Drosophila melanogaster: one gene and its partners. The protein of the gene in region 1 interacts with the protein of each later gene in a pairwise test. Each region holds a gene or a part of one and is shown on either strand. Other genes may lie near its edges.

Region 1 (4,174 bases):
AAAACATACATACTTAACATAAAGAGGTTGAAATATAAAATATCGTTAGCATAAGCAGCACTAATATGTTGTGTCCGGTGGCTTCCTCCAATTTCAATTGGCTAATCGGATAGTTTTTAAGACTGCCGAAGTTCTTACTGCTCCCGCTTGGCATGACAAGCTCTCACCGTGGACAGACGCGAATGTTGTTAAGCGCGTATATTTTGGCAACTATCTTTTATATGGCTTACATATAAAATTGTCCGGCACTTGCAACGGGAGCTTGTCAATCGGCCAACCAATGCGAAGCTTTTATACGACTGGCTGACTGCGACCGAACTGCAATTGATCCATTGTGTACACTTATAACTAAAACTACATAATGTTACATGGAAACACTAAACTAATATACAATTTGGCCATGACAGCGGCTCAAAACACTTAAAACTTATAAAACAAATTCACGTTCGATTTAGTATTAATATCCGGCTGCTGGTGCTCATCCTCTTTCTGCTTGCAATTGTAAGCCTCACAGAGCTGATCGAAGTCGTCCTTGCTCATCTCAACGGATTCCATCATAGCCACCTTCTTGTAACTGTTAAGAAATACATTTGGTCAACACGGGCTCATTCTTCGGCTATCTAGTGTTTGCGACTTACGTGTCTCTATTGTACTTTTCCCGCATGGCCTGCGTGTTGAGCTCCTTTGCCGTTTTGTGGGTGTGACACAGATGCAACACAACCGTTTTTAGGTCCTCCAGCTTGTAAGTCGTGATCTCCTCCAGCCTTGGCGTCCACATCTCCATGCCCAAAATGTGACGCGCCAGTGCGACTGAAGCGGATGACATAAGTGATGGCAAATATTGCAAGTACGTTTCTCCCTCCATGAGCGACAACTCGGAAATATACTGTGTCAGGTAAACATTAAGTTAAGTTTCGGCTTTGTTTCTTTTTTCTTTTGTATTGGCAATAGCTTACCAGCGTCATGTACTTCAGCTTCTCAGGCATGTCGCAAAGTACAGCATAGGTGTTGATGAAGACGTAAGCAGTCGGTGTGCACAGATCGAAGGAGAGAATCTTCAAGATAACCTGCTCCATGCGTAGCACCTGCGCCTTGGTGTAACTGTCGTCGGTGAGGAAGACAAACTCACCGACCTCTGGGGGATAGATTTCCTCGTATTTTCTGAAAAATAAAAAAATAAACCCCATGAATACACACACCATTATTACCGGACTATCAAGAATACTTACGCGGCAATATACATAGCTGCCGTGCCCACCAGCTGTAACTTGGAGCGCACCACCGCCATTTGGCTCAAAAATCGATCTAGATAAAAGACCGAGAGATAGAGCGTCTCCGTGTCCAGTTTGTACTCCTCGGAAACCTCAACCAGCCAATCAATAAGGATGGAGCGCATATTGTGGCTAATGTCCTTCTGTCTGCGCATATAGAGTGGCTTGGGGCGATGTTTCTTCTGGAAGATGCAAACACATGCAAACAAATGATTAGAAACCGATTAGATTACCCGGCCTAACAAAAATTACTAAGCCAAACTTTTAATACTTTAGGTTAGGATTCGCATATATATAGCTTATGCCTTTTCTACACTCTAATCTGGCAACCAACTACCCGTTCCCAGTTTCATCTTAAGAAGGTGTCAAAAATGTACAAATTTCACGGGAGAAAAAGCCGTACAGTCATCAAATCAAGCGTATAAATACCATAGGAGAAGTGGCAAACAACAGCTGGGGGAGGGAGTTAACCGATTTTTATTTATTTATTGGTTATTTCGTAGTACGTGAGTCGCATCGAAATTCCCAGTTCGAACTTAAATTTCTTTGCCAAACACCTACATATATGTACATATATATGGGCAATATGTACATTAGGTGATTATTTTATGGTCGCTTTAACGATTATTGGAACCGTCAAGCGACTCGAGCTGCAAAAATTAAAGAATTCGATTGACATGAATATATGTACATACATCAGCATTTGTTTTATATTAAGGCAGTTAACTCCCATGAAATTATTATAGATATATGTAAATAGTCTGTAACTAGTAGGTTACAGAGGTAGTAGTAGAGGCAAACAATAAACAAAGCACCCAGCAACCGGGCAAACAAAGTCAACTCAGGCATATATCCACATCCTACTAACAAGAAGAGACAGACATATCGACCTCGAATACAGTTGAACATCTTTTATAACTAACTCCGGCACAATGACGCTCAAAATCGGTATATGCACCAAGCAGGATCTCGACGAGGCGATGAAGCTGCAGAAGCGGGAGCAGTACGAAGATGAGCGGAAGCGGCGCATTTTTAATGCCAAACAGCGTCTTTACGGGGTAAGTATGCATCTGCAGACTGGGTGAGCTTCATTGCCGAATATTCCTATTCACAGCTCGACCTAGAAATGCTGGATCGCCAAATACTTGAGAAAAAGAAGCAGCGAACCGCCCAGATGGAGTGCGACAAGAAATTTGAAGAACAGGAGCAGCTGCAGAAGCGTCTGATCCTGGCCCAGGAAATGGAGTTGGAGAAAAAACAGCGTGTGGTGGACTCGGATCTTAACTATTATCGCTGCCGCTATCAGCGCAAGGAGCAGCGCCGCGAATTCGACCTAAATGATCCGAATTTCTTGAAGAAGGCACGTCCAACAAGAGTCGCCGACAATGACATTTCGCTGGGCGTGTCCAGTGCCCAGATCTTTCAAGGCGAGGACCTCTATAACTCTGACAGAAAGCAGCGGCAGCGGGAGCAGCAAAGAGCCTGGCTGGATCAGCAAGTGCAGGAGCGTAAGAGGGCGGAGGATGCTCGCAAGCAGGCCGATAATGTGTTGATGGACAACGTTGGTTGCAGAGACAAGCATCTGCAGGAGATGGCCAAGTCTGATCACCAGATGCGCAACCAAGTCATCCAGCGAGTGCGTCAGTTCAATATCAACATGGCCAAGCAGAAGCAATTGGACCGCGAAAGGGAAAAGCGTGAAAAGTACGAGGATGACATGGCCGAGATCTATAACATGCTCTCCAGCGATATGCTAACTGAAAATCCGGATGTGGCTCAATCGCGCACCGATCCGAACAAGAAGATTGCCTTCATGTATCGCGGCATGACGCCCGAAGAACTTCGCGTGTTTCGTCTTGGACAAGATCAGCAGCTTCGTTTGTCTATTCAGCGCAAGACGGAGGCCCAGATGATGGACAAACAGTGGGAGCAATACTCCATTAATATGGACCGCACCCTGGTCCTTCACCAAATCGAGGATGATCGCCGACGTAAGGCGGAATTCGATGAGCTGATGCGGGCGAATTCCAAGTTGGCCGTGGAGCAGGATCGCCAGCGCAAGGAAGCCCTTGTGGGCCTAACCAATGCCGTCTCCGATGACTTTTACGATCAGTTCAACAAGAACTCACGTTAGTGGGATTGTATTGAAGTTCCCAACCAAGACGATTCGAGAATAATGAGCTGGATGCGATTAGAAAGCTGCCTCACTTTCTTGTGCAGCAACTTTCCATAGGCGTCCAGAACATTGTACTATTTTAAAAATACAATCTTTGTTGGGAATCTTCACGACGAAATTATAATGTTCATGTTGGAAACAAAGCATTTCAAATATTTAAAAATTTAAAAAAAAAAAAAGACAAAAACCCATCTCTAGTAAAAACTGAAATATCAAGGGAAAATAAAGAATACGCCCATTCTGGACAAAACCTAATCCTTGTGTTGTTGTTTTGTATTATTTAATGTTGTTTTCGAGTTTTGTAATTTAACTATCGATTTTAAAATATTTTTAAATTTTTTTTATTTGTTTTGGTTTTCTAGTTTTTTAAATTCTTTATCAATTTTAAAACTTTTTTGGTTTTAATTTTTTTTTTAGTTTTTAAACTTATTTTAATTTTTAATCTTTTATTTACTAACGTAGGAAACAAACTACAATAGTAGTCAACCTCCCTCTGCAAGTCGAATTCCATTGGTACCCCGAGTGTTCTACGACTTTGGACGAATGAGAAAAAGAGAGTCAACAACAACGACAAAGGATGAGACGGACGCAGACAGACAAGCGTTTCGCTTCCCGCCCAACAAACATGTGCCCGCGAGCGGGAATAAGTGTACCCATGAACCCATAAAGAGGCAGCGTTGCGTGAAGGGAATGCCAACGGAGGGTGCGACAGGGTCCGACTTCCCCT
Region 2 (3,815 bases), on another chromosome or scaffold:
CACGTGCTCTTCTATGCCGCAGAATTGGTCAGTAAAATTCAGTAACCTATTTGCTTTAATTTTTGAGTATCATTTGGTAAAAAAAAAAACCATAAGATTACAGTAACCAATTCAAATTACTTACGAAATGATTACGCAATGTCTGTTTGTATTCTGGTGTACAACCGTAACCCAAATAACACTTTTAAACGAAACCCATTCCACAGATTGCCACCGATCCCAAGCAGGCCGTTCAAAAGGCCAAGGAACTGTGGGTCTATCTCAGTGCAGATGAACCCGAAAATCAAGCGAGGCCCGCCACTCTGGAGCAGTTGATTGTGCTACTGACCCGCGAATCGGCTAGGCGTGTGGTTCATCTAGTGAACTTCAGTGCTCATGTGGCAGCCAACATACCCAGGTTGGTAGATCCCGCCTCCATCCTTATCTTTCCATGTGAACCCCTTCGAACCAAACCTTACAGAAACCTGGCGCACACGACAACAGAGGTTGCCCACCATATTATCTATATCAACCACCGCATCATCACAATCTCACGGCTGGACAAGGTTAAAACCATCTCCAAAGAGGAAGCTGAATCTCTTTTCAAGCGCATGCTGGCGTTCTATGGTAGCCTTCAGGGCCTGACCAATGCCTACCTGGTAAGAAAGGATGTGATACTAGCAGTCAGACGGAAGATGATTATATATATTAAATATATTCGACAGGAGCGCGTGGCCAGCTTTCTATCCGGACGCATGGAGGCCGAGAAGGTGACGGGCAGCGATGGCGGCAATTCCAACCACCGGTCATCGCGGAGGAGGCAGGATCCGAACCATTATTCAGCCACCCACAATAACATCAACGGCGTCTACTAGCATTGAATTCTTTATTGCTATCGTATTTTTATTTCTGTTTCTCCGTGCATATACGGAAAATACACTAAACGATATTGTACATCTATTTTTAACATAATGCATTTGTCAATAATATAAGCCTAACTTCACGCTTAACAATACAACGCGGACTTTTATCCAAAATTATTATAGACTCATATTGCCAATAAAGCATTAGGTATTGAAAGAATTCCTAGGGTGCTTTAAATTCTTGCTTTAATTTATTTAAATAAGTTCGCTTTGTAATACGCAAGCTCTTTGATGCTTTCTCGGATGTCGTCCAGACTACGATGCGTGAAAGATTTTTTGGGAGCGGAATCCAGAATTGCGGGATGCCATCGCTTGGCCAGTTCCTTGATGGTGGACACATCGACGATGCGGTAATGCAGGTAAGCATCTACCAATGGCATGAATTTCATAATGAATAGTCGGTCGGTGTAGACGGAGTTCCCACCAAGCGGACAGGCGCGCTTTGGTATGTTCTTCTCGAGATAGGATAGCACTAGATTGGAGGCTTCTTCGAGATTCACATCCGAGCTCTTGCATCGATCAATAAGACCTGAATTGTAATGATGTTTCATGCACCACTCGTTCATCGAGTCGTAGACCTCCTGCGGATGGTTGATGGCAAAGCATGGTCCCTCCGACTTCACGTTCAGGTCCTGGTCCGTAATGATGCAGGCCACCTCGAGGATTTTGTCCTTTTCAATGTCCAGCCCGGTCATCTCCAAGTCCATCCACACGATGTCCGTGTCTAAGCCACAGGTGCTGCTCATTCTGTCATTTGAATTGAATGCGATGTGGCTCCGAATTTGGCGGTTCAGGGACAATCCGACGCGTCGAAGGTGAGCAAGCATATATAGCTGTAGCGCAGGTTTCTTTTTGCTAAATGTAAATATGCGGCGGTTTTACCATGTGTTTGATAACATGGTATCGTTACGATAACAACTGGTCACACTACAGGCACATTGCCCAACACTGAAAGGGGGATTCCTGTCATTACAGGAACAAAACAAATCGAATATTATGTTCATACCCAAATAATTGCAGAATAATTTGTTCAGCATTCTTATTTGTATCCACCAAAGTCGAAAGTAATTGTAATTAAAGTTAAAGGTTTTATGCGATAACGACTTGGAGCCATTTTAACTACAGCGAACGGTAATTTCTAACAAACCGCGCACGGTCACTCTGTCGAGTTGATATTTTTATCAAAAATTGTTGTACGGAAAACGCAAAAGGTGTCGTTATTGTTGCAGCATGTCCTCCTCGTCGGCCAGAGACCAACCGGGAACCTCCCATGACAACTTCGAGGAATTCTACACAGAAGTAAGTGTGGCGGACGGAACCGCAGGCTCAGTTTTTATTCTACACTGGGTCGGGCTCCTTGCACGGCAGCCGCTCCAAATAAACTAAACCCTTGTTATTATGTACACTTTAGTAAATGATTTTGTGCCTATATTGCAGGTGAAAGAAATTGAAAAACGTGATTCAGTTTTAACTCCTTCTCAACAAATTGATCGTTTACTTCGTCCAGGTTCAACGTACTTCAATCTCAATCCGTTTGAGGTGCTCCAAATCGAGCCCGAGGTCGAATTGGCGGATATAAAAAAGCGATACCGCACCTTGTCAATCCTCGTCCATCCAGACAAGAATCCCGACAACCAGGAGCGCGCTCAAATGGCATTCGATATTGTGTCGCGTTCCTGGAAAATCCTCGAAAACGAACTCACGCGCAAAAGGTGTCTGGAGGTGTACGAGGAGGCAAAGGGGCGAACGGATCAAATGGTGAGTTCCAGTTCCTCGGAGCATTAAGCTCTATGATCGTCCGGCTTTAGAATAATTGAAAATCCAATTGCAATGGCACATTTTCTTTATTGTACTGTATTATATTAATTTGTTCGTTACCTTTCAGATTGCAGAAAAGCGTAAAAAGCTTAAAAAAGAGGGTCGGCCCACTGAGCCAATACCCGAGGACGATCCCACCAAGTACAAGCACGCCATCTACGTTATGGTCATGAAACTGTTTGCCGACATGGAGCGTCGACGGCAAAAGCTCGACCAACGCGACCAGGAGGAGCGAAAGCGAAAGCGCGAAACGGAAATCGAGGAGGAGGAGCGGATAAAGGCGGACCGCGAATGGCAGCAGAACTTCGAAGAGTCGCGCCAGAGCCGAGTAAACAGCTGGCATGACTTTCAGTCGGGTGCCGGCAAGTCCAAGAAAGCCAAGAAACAAAAACATATGACCGGCATGATGGTTCCACCAAAATTTAAGCCCGAGTCGCGATAATATAGCTTCCCAGCGCGGCGCCGCTCCTTCACTATCGCCAGATCACCTCCGCCAAACCGCGTCGCGTTGCACATGAATATTTTTACATTTTTTTTATAAGTATCCTTTGGAATTGTAATTGACACGTGCATAAAATATAGATGTAAGAAACACATTTCCGTCTTGCCTCTTTCCTTCTACAATGGATGGCTTGGACCATCTCCTTCGATCACAGTTCTGTGTACAAGGATGCGGTGAAAACAATATCGCGCTTGATAGCAGCCGACGCCTCCTCCATCTTCGACTGCAGTCCCGGATTGCCAATCCGAATGGCGGCCGTTTTAACATCACGCAGCGTTTCATTCAGCTGCTGAATGCAGCGAACAATGATGCCCTCCTGCACCGTCGTCAGTTTCATAATCTCAGCAAAGGGCTGTGAATTGGATTAAATGGACAGATATGAGGATAGGCAAAATTGCGTCCTACAGGGCTTCTTACCTTATTTCTAGCCCACTCGTAGACCACCTCCAGCAGACCAAAGTTCAGGCGATTATCGGTCTCGATGGCTGCCTGAAAGCGCTGCTCCTCGGCAAGAATTGTATCGTTGATCTGCTCAAATGCCGCCACGCACTCCTTCAACGCCTCTGGTATTACCGGCTTATCCTGCATCTTCG
Region 3 (5,444 bases), on another chromosome or scaffold:
CTGGCTCAAAACCCTCGATACAAGCCGTTGACCGTACAATTTGGTCGATTCTATGCAAATTTATGCAAATGCCCACCGTTTTGTAGCCTGTCGTTTGTCGTTTGTAGTTGTTGGTGGTTCGCCATTTGGTGGTGCACAGGTGCGTGATAAGTGCCGTGTAAAGGACTCGCAGGATATGCCGCAACATTTTTACTACCACAACTGTTACTCCCGCACCCTCTAGCTCAGTGCATATTATCCAGCATATCCTGCCAGCTCGCCGGTTGGAAATGAAAGGTCGACGGTGATGAATTCATGGGCGGAACGTGAGAATCCAGTTTAACTTCAACTCTAGAATATTGCCTCTGAAATATTGCCAAGTAATCCCCACGTAGAAGACAGTTTATCTCTAATTAATGGTTGTACTTATCTAACGCTAACAAGGACCCAATTGCGTTTACGCGGCAAAATGATCTTTACATCCTTTTAAGAATTAAATGTTCATATTTAATGGTAACAAATCGAACTTTCCTTTTTTAGGATATTAGGAATAATAAATTCGCAATTCAACTAGTTTTTCAAATCGGTTTTTTATTTGTCAGAAAAAAAAAGGATTCTTAGGTAATTATAGGATCTGTTTCAACATTCGTATTCCAAGGCAATGCTGCGCTTTTAGCCACTCAAAAAAAAAAAAAAGGTTTAGGTTATAACCAAACAGAAGTCAAAAATCAACATATGGACATGACCCGCATTGGGTCACTTCTCCACGAACAGATCCTCGGCGTAGGAGAAGCTCAGCCGCCGCTTGGTAACCGCCTCCACCCGCCCGCCGCATGATCCCATGGCCACCAGCTCCTCCTCAAAATCGCTGGTCGAGTTGTGCCCACTGTCCGGGCTAATGTGGCGCCTCTTCTGGGCGAACCGCTGGCTGGGCACTGCAGATCCGGACCTGGCCGCTGCGAGCAGCTTCTGCGCCGACTGCCTGACGCTGGAGGAGATCTTGGTGGTGATCTTTCGCTTGCGCCGCACCACCCGCTGCCTGCGCAGCTGCAGGGAATGCCGCTTGGCATCCTGCGATTCGGATTCGGTGGGCACGGGGGAGCGCACCTCCCGCTCCTCGAAGCCCTCCGCTGGCAGGGAATCCCTCCGCGAGGGCGACTTCCAGTACTCGCACAGATCGCTGGCCGGATCGAAGGCGGGGCGGTAGGTGGGCGATGGCGTCTGGGTGGAGCCGTGCCCGTGCCCGTGTCCGTGGCTGCTCCGGAGCACCTGCTGCCTGAGCCTGTGCCGCTGGCGGAGATGCTGCCTGGGCTGGCGGTGCTGATGCTGGTGCTGTTGCTGTCTGGCGTTGGGCAGCACCTTGCGGTTGCTCTCGAGGATGGCATCGATCATACGCTCCAGGGTCACATCGCCCATCTGGCTGGAACTGAGCGTATTCTGTTCGCCGATCGGAGGAGCTGGATGCGGATGGGGATGCGGATGTGGTAGTGGCTTCTGCTCCAGGTAGCGCGGCTTCTCGAAGTAGCTGTCCGGGATGCCCATGCCGCGCAGGGCGATCAGGGAGCCAGGAATGATGGCGGCATTGGGCGAGTACTCCGCCTCGAAGGTGGGCAGTGTGCAGGCGAACTTCAGGGGAACAGCAGCTGCTCCTCCAGTTGCCCCACTAGCGCCACTTGCTCCTCCCGATGGCGGCGTGGCCAGGATGTTGCTGAGGTCCTTGAGCAGTGGTGTGCGAGCATGGAGGCTCAAGGAGCTGGCCGGCAGCGGCGTGGAGGTCAGCTGGTTCTCCTTGCCTGGCGCCACTCCGATCGACTTCCTCTTGAGTTTGCCACGCAGGGCGTGGAACTCGCTGTAGCTGGAGCCCACCACTTCGGCCTTCTGCTCGAGAGATCCTGATCCCGATCCCGATTCCGATCCTGTTTGCGATCCCATGGCCAGCTCCTTGGCCAGATACGAGTTTCGCGGCTGGTTGACAGCCCACTTGAGCATCCTGGCAGCTGCTGTCTGTCGCTCCTGCGGTGCCAAGATATCTGGAAAAGTGGCAAAAAGGATAGGGCTAGTTAGCGATTGTCTATTTGCAAAGCTTCTCAAGCAGAATGGAATTGCAAAAAAAAAAAGCAAAAACAGAGCAAAAACCCGACTAACTTGTAGCGAAACGAGTTTGCACAGGGGCCTGCTTGGGATTTCGCCAAGGATTCGCACAGCTGAACGCCAGCTTCCCGATTTCCGCAAGGAGTTTCTGGTTCCGCATATCCTTGCGAACAATTGAGCCGGCACAAAGAGCCCGGGAACAAAGGAAAAGCGCGCTAAAGCTTCGCGATTTTCTGGGCCTCCGGTTCGCTCCTGTTCGCCATACCAACGCACTGCCCTCCAGCTGCGATTTAGCCCAAGGTTCTGCCTCGCGTATCGTGTGCTCGGGTGGTGTGCCGGCACAGGGAGAAATTATCACCCAAAATCAGGCAGGAATTTGGGGATTTATGCGCAAAAATCGGAATATCTATACATTTTATTTATATTATTTTTTAACTGATTGAACTATTGTTCAAATAATTTCAGAATCTGGGGAATTATTTGGCATCTAAATGGCTTTGTTACAATAAAGAAGATATTAAAATTGGTTCCAGATTTAGTACCCGATTAAATTATAAAAGCAATAAGCTATTCAAATTTCAATAGAAATGAAAAATGTTTACAACATTCTTTACTATAAAAATAAAATATTTAAGCAAAGCCCTTGATAGTCAAATTAGAAATTAGCGGTCCAATATACCATTTCATTAAATTTGCAAATCAATAGAAATTTTGGGAACTAAGTTCGCCAAGAAAGTTACTAATATAATTATTATTCATTTTGAATAGTAAATTTGTTGAGCTGCATGATTTTGAGACTGAAGATTCAAGTGATAAAAAAAGTGTGGCTGGGAGAACATATATATTTTTTGCCGTGTGAACTTGGGCAAAATGGTGGTGCTGCCGGCACACTCTGTTGCCTCGTCCTACTCCCATTCCTCTGCCCCATCCTCCAGTGGTGTCGATCTCCGGCCACTCGAGGAGTGATGGCGATAAGGGGGGATCCGCAGGAGTGAGCGATTTCGCTCATCTACTCGATTCCGGGATATGTACGTGCGTGCTAGCATTTTTGCGCATTTTGCAGCCGCCGCTCTCGTTTTGGTCTGAAGAGCACTCGAGCACTTGGGCCAAGTGGCCCGAGTTCGAAAACCCATTAACCCATAGCCCATTGCCCATATCCCATTGCCCAAGCTCAAAACCAAAACGCAGGAGCTAAAACCCAGCAAAACATAACCCAAAATCGCACGCGCACAATTTATACGTTTTTAGGCGATTTTAATGGGGTGTTTTTAATTAAACCCCGCTGCCCCAGACACTTCTGCTTTAATGCATTTTTAATGCACATTTAGCCCGAAAATATGCACACTGGCTTTTCGTTTTCCATTTCATGCACTTCACTTATCTTTACCTTTTTATTTGTATATATTTTTTTGGAATTTTTCGCGTTCTTCGTTTTTTTTTTTTTGGGGTATCCAAAGTTCAGAAATTGCTTCGTTTCACAATGAAAAATAATATAAAATTTTGTGGTATTTTTTCTTTGCACGTTTAAAAAAAAAATGAAAATAGGCGTAACGAGACGGGTGTTGGGAAATCAAAATTGTAAATTTTGAAATTTATTTCCTGCTCGCGATCGCAGAGAAATACACGTCCTGTCGCTGCAACAGACGAAAAGTGACTAATTCTACCCTCGCACGCAAACGTTGCGTGCTCACCTCGCAGAGCTTGAAACCCGGTCTCACGAGGCACACTGAAAACAAATATGTTGTACTTTGGGACCAGCTATACAAAATATTTTAAATGTATTACAGATTTTTGAATGAGAAGATACCCAACTATTTGAAACAGATTTTGATAACTATTTACGAATTTGTTTTATGCACACATAAAGATAACATTTAGGAATTTTGTATACAAATGAAATATATCCTAAATATATATCATAGTTGATTATTACATATTTTTAGTTCATTTAAAAGTATTGAACTACAGTCTTTTTTGACAGTGTACTAATGGAACCACCACCTTTTCAACAGCACCTTTCAATATTGAAGGTGAGATTGCCGTTCGTTCGCTCTCCCGATTTCTCTCCCCTGTTGACTGCTGAGGAATTTCGGGACTCGGAAAGGACATTCCCTTGGACTGAACTTGAAAACCTAGTGTAGCACCACCACTAGCCCGGCAATTTGAACTCGTCCCACCCCCCGGAGCGGGAGCGATCGGGTTGATATTGAAATCGAATGCTTTGCATTCCAATTCATCTCACATGGCATTTCACTTGGCATTTGTCAAGTTTGGATTTCCATCGTATAATGCTTGACAAATGCTCCGGCTAACGATCGGCATATATAATATTAATGGCCCACAAGGGACCTTCCATTGGGCCATCATCATTTGTGCGATTGATATACATGTTCCGAAATTGATTGAGATTTGATTTTGGGAAGTGTTTGGCAAGATGTCAGGAGTGACTTTTAGAATTATATCCTGCGGATTCGGTAAGTCTGAAAATATATACTATATTTTAATGAGAACTTTAAAAGCAGTTTCCTTATGCAAAATTACTTATCCTTGATGCTTTCGACTTTGATCATTTATGAATTAATCGAATATGTTTAATATTTAAGGCTGCGAAATACCAAATTCAAGGCACTGACAATAGAATCAGTCTAAACAATACGCCATATAGTCTTCCCTAGCCAGATCCAATTATTCCCTGTGTTTCGCATCACCTATTGATCTGCAGATCCTTTTCCATGGCATTTCGCATGATCCTGGGCAAATAAGCCGATCCGAGAGCCTCTGGTCCTTGAAGTGCCTGCCTGTCAATGGATGCCAGCTTTTCACGGCGATCCCAAATCAATCAAAGGATCTGGGTCCTGTGAACACACACAGACACACCAATACCAAACCCCACCCCCTGCCATTGCCCGCCAGGCATATCGAGTGGGAAAGCGGAAGAAAAGGGAAAGCAGTGGAAATCGAAGGAAGAAGGACGAAGGACGAAGGAGCCAGAGGGAAGCTCTGAGCAAATACAAATTCTAAATTATGGCCCATAATTCAGGGCCAGGTTTTAATAATTTTGCGCGCCCCGCCGGCGAAAGTAATGAGAGAAAGCAGAAGCAGAAGGTGAGGGAGCAGAGGAGCTCGCCTAGCCGTGCTAATCCCCGAGCGAACAGCTGTCCGGCCCAAGGATTGTGCATTGTGGGTCCCTATGTGTGATTCCTCGGATTTCCTCAAAACTCGGCCGCTCTGTCCTGGCGCTATCAGTGTGCGGCTTGTGATTCAAGATTACCTTTTCCCTACCCACTTTTCACTTTATCTAGATGTCCTTGCCGCCGCACGTTTCTCCAACGATGGCCAGCGGAATGGGATCCTGCACAGAGAGGAAAAGGATA
Region 4 (3,067 bases), on another chromosome or scaffold:
CGAAATAACTGGAAACAGATATGGCATGGGAAACCAATTCAAGGGAAATTCCTTCTGCTATTTCTAGAAAACTGATAAGAGAAGGCCATACTAGCATGTGTGTTGTAACTTTTGATAAATCAAATAAAAGTTTCTCATGTGCCGGTTTATTATTAGCAGTAAAAACTTTGTAGTTCAGAATTTCGATTGTGCAATCCTAAGGTTGGTGGTTGCTAATTAATTAATTTAATAAATTTAATTTAATTATTATTATTAATTAATTATTAAGTGTTCAAATGACATATTGGTTTAACTAAGTAGGCGCACAAAATTTAAATTCTCTTTGAAACGGTATTTTTACCGATTGCTCGCACACAAAGCTTCATACAAGTTCTGCTAGATGGCGCACTGGGCGCTGAAATCTGTGTAAAAATCATCTGCAAGCCAAAGATAGGTGTCGCTTTAATAGAAATCCGAATCCAATATACCTGTTATACTTGTAGAGTAAAAGAATAACGGGTACCTGTTTCTTTTATTATTTTTTAACCATAAAAAATAAAGTAACACCCGAATTTTTTTACATTTTTCAAATCCCACCTGTCCGTCAAAGCATATTCATCGAACCTTCAAAAGCGTCTACTTCATCCAGTAAATCTATATTGTCCCTTATAATAGTTGAATCCCTGATTTCGTTTAAATATTTTGGGTTCTCTACGATTTCTCTATATAATTTCTGTAGATCGCTCTTCAATTTATAGAAAAAGTTAGTTAACTTTTTCTCTTCTTCGAGAGAACGACCGCTTTCAGTGTCGACAGTGTCCAAATATTCATAAGTCTCAATATGGCTGGGAGTAGTGCCATCAATTAAGTGATTTAGCTCATCCGCCATTGAAGAAAATTCTTTTAAATATTTATCTTGCAGAGCTCTCTCTACTCGTAGTTGGTTCTGAAGTTCCGATTTGTTAGTATTGGAAAACGAGGGTTCCATTTTTTTTGTTGGTGATGGTGACAGCACCTTGTTGTCTGGCAATTATATGAGCTTAGATATAACAATGGTCAGTTCATTCTGTGTTCATACGTACCAAGAATCTTATTTTGTTTAAAATCAGAAAAATATTTTTTTATGTTAAGATCGAACCTCACTTTCTCACTCACCTCACTCACCGCACTATATAAGTTTTCTGACTGTAGGGTCTATTTGGACTTGACACTTAACACAACTGCCTCTCCGTTCGAAATTTTCCCTTACTCGTAGAGTAAAAGTGCATACTAGATTAGAAAGAATTTTGCGTTCCCACTAGCTGAGTAAGGGCTTTCTAATAGTCGGGGAGTTCGACTATAGAATTCTCTCTTTTTTATAATAAAAACGTAATTTAATTGTGGTATAGCTCTAAAAAGGACTTTTAAGAATACCTTTACCTTTTCTTATGAAAAATTTCGAATACTTTATGTCTGCCAGCGAACACTTCATTTCGGAGCACACGGTGATGGCGGTGTTCACTTCGCAGGGCCAAGTGGGTGGACCCTGCAGATACATGCCTGCCACGCGGCGTCAGAACCACCAGTGTCGCAAGGAGACGGGATTGCCGGGAACCCTTAGCGAGGCCCGCCGTCTGGCCACCACCCACTGCGAGGAACAGTTCCGCTACGACCGCTGGAACTGCTCGATCGAGACGCGCGGAAAGCGGAACATCTTCAAGAAGCTCTACAAGGAGACTGCCTTCGTCCACGCGCTCACAGCGGCCGCCATGACCCACTCGATAGCCAGGGCCTGTGCCGAGGGACGTATGACCAAGTGCAGCTGCGGGCCAAAAAAGCACAACAGGGAGGCGCAGGACTTCCAGTGGGGCGGCTGCAATGACAATCTGAAGCACGGCAAGCGGGTGACACGCAGCTTCCTGGACTTGCGCGGTGGTGATGGTGACGAGGTCAGCGAGATATTGCGACATGACTCAGAGGTAAAGAGATATATTTTAAGGAGCAGAAGGAGATATTTTATAGAATACCTGTGCTAATTAAACTTTCTTTTCAGGTCGGCATCGAAGCTGTCTCCTCGCAGATGATGGACAAGTGCAAGTGCCACGGCGTCTCCGGCTCCTGTTCGATGAAAACTTGCTGGAAGAAGATGGCCGACTTCAATGCCACAGCCACGCTCTTGAGGCAAAAGTACAACGAGGCCATTCGCAAGGCGCCAAACCAGCGATCAATGCGACAGGTGTCATCGAGTCGCATGAAAAAACCAAAGCAGCGACGCAAGAAAGTAAGTTCTTCAAAGAAAAGTAGAGTAGATGTAGAATTATATGTAGAATACATTCGAAAAGGTAGATCTATAACGGGAATTGGTTTCTATGGAGAAAAGGGTATCTGATAGTCGAGGTAGTCCATCTTTATGTTTAGACTTTTAACCACAAAAGACTTTGTTAATATTTTAGAACCTAAACTTAAAAAACTAATAAGTAATTTCCCTTTACAGCCCCAACAATCGCAATACACCACGCTGTACTATTTGGAGACCTCGCCCTCCTACTGCGCGGTCACCAAGGATCGGCAGTGCCTGCATCCGGACAACTGTGGCACCCTGTGCTGTGGGCGTGGCTACACCACCCAGGTGGTTAAGCAGGTGGAGAAGTGCCGGTGCCGGTTCAACAATGGACGGTGCTGTCAGCTGATCTGCGACTACTGCCAGCGGCTGGAGAACAAATACTTTTGTAAATAGACGGGGTGCCATCTCTCGCAGACTTTCTTTGCCCCGTCTCCGTCACTTTCTATCCCTCTACTGTGCTCTTTGAAAATGTAATTTGTAAAGTTTTTTTCTACCTTTATGGCTTGTAATTTTTTTCCATTCCTAACAAATATTACTGAAATGATAAGCAAAAAGAACGAATGCAGAACGATAGAGATCGATCAGAAAGCTAAGGCTTAGCTAAAGGCCAAACTCACCAGCTCACACACACACACACACATACTCAAATGCATAGACACACACAGTCACACAGACACACACAAGCGCATACATGCATCTATCTATTTAATTACTATATAATATATAGTAAACATTAGCTACCGTCGCAAAGAAAAAATCTCAAAA

What was found.
Region 2: the proteins of CG7264 (region 1) and CG10375 interact in a two-hybrid assay, tested with the Drosophila melanogaster proteins (one large-scale study listed by BioGRID).
Region 3: the proteins of CG7264 (region 1) and CG15646 interact in a two-hybrid assay, tested with the Drosophila melanogaster proteins (one large-scale study listed by BioGRID).
Region 4: the proteins of CG7264 (region 1) and CG31909 interact in a two-hybrid assay, tested with the Drosophila melanogaster proteins (one large-scale study listed by BioGRID).

Annotation. Positions count from the first base shown.
Region 1 is NT_037436.4:11,827,232-11,831,405, forward strand, and holds CG7264 (uncharacterized protein), read left to right. Parts: upstream 1-1,798; 5' UTR 1,799-1,958; intron 1,959-2,017; 5' UTR 2,018-2,203; coding exon 2,204-2,329; intron 2,330-2,385; coding exon 2,386-3,405; 3' UTR 3,406-3,613; downstream 3,614-4,174. Other genes in the region: CycA (cyclin A), read right to left, coding at 421-574, 639-886, 957-1,161, 1,230-1,453.
Region 2 is NT_033777.3:23,765,670-23,769,484, forward strand, and holds CG10375 (uncharacterized protein), read left to right. Parts: upstream 1-2,042; 5' UTR 2,043-2,132; coding exon 2,133-2,201; intron 2,202-2,339; coding exon 2,340-2,660; intron 2,661-2,729; exon of another isoform or gene 2,730-2,787; coding exon 2,788-3,162; 3' UTR 3,163-3,315; downstream 3,316-3,815. Other genes in the region: Lsd-1 (lipid storage droplet-1), read left to right, coding at 1-27, 207-397, 461-638, 705-854; CG10214 (uncharacterized protein), read right to left, coding at 1,094-1,729; tst (twister), read right to left, coding at 3,371-3,574, 3,640-3,815.
Region 3 is NC_004354.4:15,667,327-15,672,770, forward strand, and holds CG15646 (uncharacterized protein), read right to left. Parts: upstream 3,704-5,444; 5' UTR 3,458-3,703; intron 2,472-3,457; exon of another isoform or gene 2,125-2,471; intron 2,010-2,124; 5' UTR 1,969-2,009; coding exon 736-1,968; 3' UTR 559-735; downstream 1-558.
Region 4 is NT_033779.5:7,255,632-7,258,698, reverse strand, and holds CG31909 (uncharacterized protein), read right to left. Parts: upstream 1,188-3,067; 5' UTR 1,135-1,187; exon of another isoform or gene 1,062-1,134; intron 1,003-1,061; 5' UTR 968-1,002; coding exon 584-967; 3' UTR 501-583; downstream 1-500. Other genes in the region: Wnt4 (Wnt oncogene analog 4), read left to right, coding at 1,439-1,937, 2,012-2,239, 2,453-2,695.